Ovis aries: one gene and its partner. The protein of the gene in region 2 binds, or shares a complex with, the protein of the main gene of each other region. Links are inferred from orthologs where the notes say so. Each region holds a gene or a part of one and is shown on either strand. Other genes may lie near its edges.

Evidence for each region. The genes of interacting proteins can lie anywhere in the genome.
Region 1: TERT (region 2) and NOP10 share a complex: the UniProt entries of both Homo sapiens proteins name them as parts of the telomerase holoenzyme complex. The link is inferred for Ovis aries from reciprocal best matches to the Homo sapiens genes TERT and NOP10.

What each region holds. Positions count from the first base shown.
Region 1 is NC_056060.1:26,486,689-26,489,430, reverse strand, and holds NOP10 (H/ACA ribonucleoprotein complex subunit 3), read right to left. Parts: upstream 1,570-2,742; 5' UTR 1,520-1,569; coding exon 1,466-1,519; intron 893-1,465; coding exon 752-892; 3' UTR 509-751; downstream 1-508. UniProt on the Homo sapiens protein: Required for ribosome biogenesis and telomere maintenance. Part of the H/ACA small nucleolar ribonucleoprotein (H/ACA snoRNP) complex, which catalyzes pseudouridylation of rRNA.
Region 2 is NC_056069.1:71,189,394-71,193,418, reverse strand, and holds the start of TERT (telomerase reverse transcriptase), read right to left. Parts: upstream 2,805-4,025; 5' UTR 2,780-2,804; coding exon 2,561-2,779; intron 2,457-2,560; coding exon 1,130-2,456; intron 1-1,129. UniProt on the Homo sapiens protein: Telomerase is a ribonucleoprotein enzyme essential for the replication of chromosome termini in most eukaryotes. Active in progenitor and cancer cells. Inactive, or very low activity, in normal somatic cells.

The sequences.
Region 1 (2,742 bases), on a different chromosome or scaffold from region 2:
AAAAATGCATAAAGACATTCCTATTCACAATGGTTGGATGAATTAAGATCTATCACTGAACTCTATCAATTTTAGAGGTGGAAGAGTACTTAGGAATGATGAGAAAAACGGAACTAAACAGGTTGACTTTCTCAGAGTTATAGAGGGGTGAATACTCATTTTCTGGCTTCCAATTCAACATCTTCCTCCTCCCATATAGCTGCTATTATTTTTCAAGCAACTCTTCCATTTTGAGTGAAATTTCATTTCAAGGGACAAAAAATTACTTAACTGACAACATGGGTATTTCTTACTTAATGCTAACAGTTGCACAAGTCTTTCTCAAGCTTTCTTCCCCTACCCTAGCACCCTGCTATGACTCACAGCACAGCACGACTGCTACAGCAGTCGCCTAAGTTTCTCTTCCAAGTGGTCTTGTATCCCTGGGGTACTCTTCCCTCTCGTTTCCCTCGTTTTTTTTTTTTTTTTTAAACCACTCCTTTCTTCCCACAACATACAAAATAACAGCTCTTTGAAATCATTTTAATAACCTGGCAGTGATTCAAAGTACGAAAATATTCAGATATCTCCCTTGGACGGGGATGCTACCATGACTGCTTCACAACAAGCATGATCGAAGGCAAAGATGAGACCGGACTCGAGGGGCAAGGGTCGGAGCAAGCTTCCAGGCTCACAGACTGAAGAGCCTGGCTGCAGAAAGTCTCTTGGGTGCTGGCAGGCAGCAGAAGACACATGAAATGTTAAGACATCCTCAGAGGACGGGGCGCGGCTGCTGGGTCATGAGCACCTTGAAGCGTTTCTTGATGGTGATTCGGTGTCGAGAGTATTTGTCGTCTGGGGAGAATCGAGCAGGGTGGGCCGAGCACGTCTGTTGTCCCATAGGATCAAGCTTCTGCTCGAGGAGGAAAGAACATAATCTCAGCACTGGAATGGTGGGAAAACGCAATCCCTGGCCTCAAAAGGGAGATGGAGGCTGGGATGGGGAGTTCAGTTCAGTCGCTCAGTCGTGTCCGACTTTTTGCGACCCCATGAACCGCAGTACGCCAGGCCTCCCTGTCCATCACCAACTGCCGGAGTTTACCCAAACCCATGTCCATGGAGTCGGTGATGAACCATCTCATCCTGTCTTCCCCTTCTCCTCCCGCCCTCAATCTTTCCCAGCATCAGGCTCTTTTCAAATGAGTCAGCTCTTCGCATCAGGTGGCCAACGCATTGGAGTTTGAGCTTCAACATCAGGGGCCGCGCAAAAACGGCAAACATGAAAACAGGAGACGCGACGGTAAGATCTAGAAGCCACGCATTTCTGCTTCCATTAATTAATACCACGCGCGGCTTCTGGAGTTTCTAGTCCCGCCCCCTCCCCCGCCCCCGCCCAAGCAGCTAGGCAACTCACTGTCTTCTCCCGACCGCTCCTTCCAATGACATGCATCGCTAAGCTGACATCCAGCCCGTTTACCCTTCTCACCTTCAGCGTGTAGACTCGCTCTCCTTGCTCGTTGAGGTAATACTGGAGAAACATGATCACACTAAAGCAGGACGTTCCAATTCTGTCCGCAGCTGCCTCTAACTGAAGGCCTCACGTGTTGGTCAATTTCCTTCCTGTACAGCCGGAAGTCTCGCTCTGAAAGCACGCCGGGAATTGTAGTCCAGTTTATCTAGACTTTTCTCCAGCCGGACAGAAGGAGGCGCACTAGCTCAGAACGTGACCAGTTGCAACCCAGTTGCAATCTTGTAGGAGTTGTACGACACGTGCAGTGTGCCCACTGTGGGCCTGGTACTGCTAGGGAGAGAGGGGAGTAGGGATGGATATAGATTAAACATAACTGAATACTATCCTGTTTTTATTTCAAGATGCACACCCATTTCAGAGGCAATGAGTTTCTAGTACCTGCAGAACTAAAGGCTCCAGGATCCAGAGCCTCCTTTACCTTAGGAAAGAAAGAAGATTTTCTTCCTTCCCCTATTTTACATCCGGTTCTCTCGCCCTGTTTCAAACATTGGCGGTAAAAATGCACGATGGGTATTCCATATTCTGCACAGCGAAAAGAGCGTGAAGTTATTTTACGAAACCGGTGAAGCATATTTTAGTGGTCGACCCAAGATTCAAACTCAGGTCTCTGCCACAAATTCAACTCTCTGTAGTGGTGAGTAGCTAATAATAGCGTGATAAGATGCGCCTCTTAGAGGTATGGCGAATTTTTAAAAGAACGTACAAATTCTCTTTATAGGATTCTGGTTTAAAGAAATGAAAATTGGAACCCAGATATCATTAACCGAGGTGACCATTGCGGTATGATTTATAATGGCGAAAAACGTTGGAAGATATATGCAGCTTTATAACCAGAAAAACCTTAAAGTTGGTTTTTTTTTTTTTAAGTATAGTTTGTGTTTGCTTGTAGTTGTATAAAATATCTCAGTGAGGATCCAGAATAAATCTGATTTCCTCCGGCATAAAGAGCTCAACTTGGTTCCAGAAGGAGTAGGACGGGGGGTGGACTTGCTGTGTACTCCATTTTAAATAGTCTGACTTTTGAACAGTCCTGATGTACTACCCATTTTAAAAATTAAAATTATTTAACAAAATTTAAAACCACAAAAATAATTTAACAAACAAACAAAAAAGACTTTTGGGTCTTGGAATTTTACTCTGAGTGGCAGTTTTTGATTAAGTGGGAAGCTTTTCAGCCCAGGGTATGGCTGAGCTGTTTGTGGACTGCAGAGGTGATGGTAATAGTCTATTTG
Region 2 (4,025 bases):
GAAAGACGCGCCCAGACCGGGTCAGCACAGAGAAGTGTAAGGCCAGGGGAGCCACACAGACGGTCAGACGGGATCGGACAGACGCGCAGAAGGTTGGCTCAGGGCCGCGATACGGCACCTACACTACGCGTGCTCACGGGACAGGAGAGGCTGAAGGTAAAACCCAGATAAGGGCAAACAGCATGAGCAGTAAACACTGGCGAGTGGGGAGGCAGGGAGACAGACTTTAAGGTAAAGAGAGTCGCTAGACACTCGTGGTGGCAACCCACTCCAGCGTTCCTGCCTGGAGAATCCCAGGGACGCGGGAGCCTGGTGGGCTGCCGTCTCTGGGGCTGCACAGAGTCGGACACGTCGGAAGTGACTTAGCAGCAGCAGCAGCAGACACTCAAGAGCAAAGCTGACTCATGAGTCAACGAGGGGGCCAAGCCTGGCTCCAGCTCTGGGTGTCAAGCTCTCAGGACTTCAGGGGTCAGACCGGGGAGCGCTCGGAAGGGGCTGGTCCTGCTGCTCCTGGCTCTGCCCGCACACGTGCTGGGCGGTGGCTGCATGGGAGGAGCCCCACATCACACCCAGACCACCACACAGGGAGGGGCCCCAAAGGCCCAGCTTCACGGAAGGTCCCATTGCTCCCCAGCAGCTGCCCGCTGTCCTGGGACCCGGCCGGCAGCCGGCTCTCCCCTCTGTGCCCGCCCAGCCCGGGGCCTCGGTCAAGGACACAGTCCTCCCGCGCCGGCCGCCAGTGGCCCTGGCCTGGTGGACACACAGGAGAACTCACTGGGTCTGCAGACGGCTGACCAGAGCCGGCTGGGGAACCCCGAGCCTTACCTCCCAGCCCCACCCAGGAGGGTTCTCAGCCCAGCTCCCACTCCTATCAGGGGGCATCGTTCAAGGCAGTTAACCTTGAGGTCAGAAACAGAAGATGAACCACCGAAGCCACGCCCACCGGGGCTCCAGGTGCCCCACCTGCAGGTGCGGCCCTGCCCTCCACGAGTCCCCCTCTCCACTGCCCCTTCCCAGGCCCAGAACCTCCATGAAGTCCGGTATCCATGCAAGTTGGGTGGGAGAGAGGGTCAGAGGCCGAGAGCGGAGATGGGGAGCTATTGAGAAGCACCCCCTCCAGAAGCCTCACCTGGGCTCGCGCGCAGCCACGCGCAGTCCTGCACCTTCATCTTCCACGTGAGCTCCTGCTGCGAGAGCCTGCCGTGCTTCCCCAGGGAGAGGAGCTTCTTCACGTTCCGCAGGAAGCGCCGCTCGTTGTGCCGGGAGCCCCAGAGGCCGGCGGGCACCAGGCGGCGAAGACAGGCCCGCAGGAGGCCGTACACCTGCCAGGGGCTGCTGTGCTGGCGGAGCAGCTGGACCAGGCGCCCCGAGCTCGCCTCGCCCTCGGGAGCAGCCGCCGGCCTCTCCGAGGGGCAGCCGCCCGCGTCAGGGCGCTTCTGATGGCCTGGCCCCGCCGGGGGCGCAGAGGCCGGCAGCGGGCAGTGCGCCCTGAGCAGCGCGCCATAGGGGCACCGCGCGTGGTTCCCAAGCAGCTTCCGGAACAGGGGCCGCATCTGCCAGTAGCGCGCGGGCAGGCGGCGCGGCCGGCGGGGAGCCCCTGGCTGCCCGGGCTTCGAGTCCAGAAAGATGGTTTCCACGAGTGTCCGCGCCCCGGCCAGGCTCGGAGGCAGGGAGCAGAGCAGGAAGGAGCGGCGCAGCTGTTCGCCGCCTCCGGAGCAGTAGAGGAACCGCTTGGTCTCAGCGCACGCTCCGGCACCCCGCTCGCCCTCTGGGGGTGACAGCCGCCAGGACGCGGAGCTGACACCCCGGTCGCCGCCCAGAAAGGGGCGGCAGGGCCCGGGCACGTTGCCCTCCCGAGACTCGGCTTCCACAGCGTCTCGGGTAGGTGTCACCACGCGGGGCGGGCCGCGGGCCAGCTGCCCTTCGAGATCCCGCCCGGGCTCCAGGCCGCGCCTGGGCCTCTTGGCTGGAGGCAGTCGTCCTCGCGCGCTGCCCCGACGCCGCCTCGCGCCCTGGGCCCGCGCCTCCAGGGGTGCCCCGGCCTCCCCGTGGCCGCCGTTCGACGAGGCCGGGCGCGGGAGTCCGAAGCCCGCCCGGGTCCCGCCCACTTGCCGCGTGGGCCGAGGAGCGGCGGCGGCGCGGAGGTCGTAGAGCGGCGGCCCACACACCTGGTAGGCGCAGGTAGGGGGCACCAGCAGGTAGAGCGCGCAGCGCGAGAGCAGGTGGGTGAGCACGTCGTCGCCCACGCGGCGCAGCAGCAGCCCCCAGGCGCCGCTGCCGCGCAGCGTGTCGGTGACCGTGTTGGGCAGGTAGCTGCGCACGCTGGTCGTGAAGGCCACGGGCGGCCCGCCGCGGGCCCCGGCCAGCAGCGTGAAGCCGAAGGCCAGCACGTTCCTCGCGCCGCGCTCGCAGAGCCTCTGCACGACTCTGGCCACCAGCTCCTTCAGGCAGGACACCTGCGGGGACAGTCCGTGCGTCGCGGGGGCCACGGGGCCGTCCCCTCCCACCGCCTCCGCCATCACCCCGCCGGGCCCGCCCAGGCTCCCCGGGGTCGGCCCACCTGGCGGAAGGACGGGGCGGCAGGGGGCGGCTGCGCGTCCCAGGGCACGCACACCAAGCACTGCGCCACGAGCGCGCGGAAGGCCGCCGGGTCCCCGCGCCGCACAAGCCGGCGGCCCTGGGGCCGCAGGCGCCGTACGAAGGCGGCCAGGGGCAGCACCTGCCGGTAGCTGGCCCGCAGGAGGGCGCGCACCGCCCGGCACCTGGGCGCGCGCGGCATCGCGCGGAGGAGCAGGGGTCCGCGCGGAGGAAGGGGCGGGGCCGGGCGGAGGAAGGGGCGGGGTCGCGGAGGCCCAGGTACGACGAGGCCCTGGCCCCCTCCGCGCGGCTGCTCCCGGCGGCCTCCGCAGCCCCGCGCCGCCGGCCCGCCCAGGGCGCAGGGGTCGCGCGAGGGGTCGCACAGCGGAAAGGCTCTGTGGTACCGAGGGAGGGGACCAGAAGGCAGGGTCCCTGGGCGGGGGGGGGGGGGGGGGGCCTGGTGTGTTCGGCGTCCCCGGGGAGCAGGTTCTTCGGGTTGGTTGCTTTAACACGCGGGCCGTGACCGTGCAGCGAGGGATGCTCTGGGGTCCAGAAGGGGCTCATGGCAGCGAATGCGTAACTTTGTGCGAAGGAGAGAATGGACCACCGCCCCTGCCTGGCGGGCCTGGGGACACCGAGGGGGCACAGATGCATCCTCGACCATTCCGCAGGGGAGTTCCTGGAGCCTTCCCCGGCGCGGGCGGCTGGCGGCGGGCGGTGGGCAGCGGGCAGCGGGCAGTGGTCAGCCTGCAGCGGGCAGCCGGCAGCAGCAGCACTTGCCTTGCGGGCTTGGGTTCCTTGGCTCCAGGCTGTACTTTCTCTTTGCGGGATCTTCCATGGTCCTCACCATAAACAGAAATCCCCAGACCAGTTCTCTGTTAATCACCAATCCCATGGGTAGGGCAAAGGAAGGGGAGAAATGGAGCCGCGGGTTCCCTGGGTCACCACCTGCAAGCTCCTGGCACACATTCGTGGCTCTCTTTACACCCAGAGCCGCCCTGCCCTCTACAAGCGCCACGAAGACGGGTCAGAGGGCCTGCCCAGAGGCTCACAACCCCAGGAGGAGCAGGGGCCTCACCTTCTGGCCCAGCCACAGGGACCCAGGTCCAGGGGCACGGCTCAGAGCGGTGACCCTAACGGCGTCTCACCCGAACCCAGACGCTTGCAGGATGTTCGAGTAGAAAGAGGAAGCTTCTGGGTCTTGGGAGGCTTGCACAGATGATGCACCTGAGTTCCCCAAACACTGAATGGCTGAACAGATGGTTAATATTTCATAACTTTACAAAACTTGGTCAGAAATTACTTTTCTTCGTGGCCATAGCATTTAAAGAGGCCTCCACTCTCCCTCCGTCACCGGAGTTTCGTGTCCATCCCGCTTGCTCCGGTCTGCCCCGCTGGTAACCCTTGGGACCGTGGGTGGCTCTCCTGGAAGTTCACCGCGTGAGCAC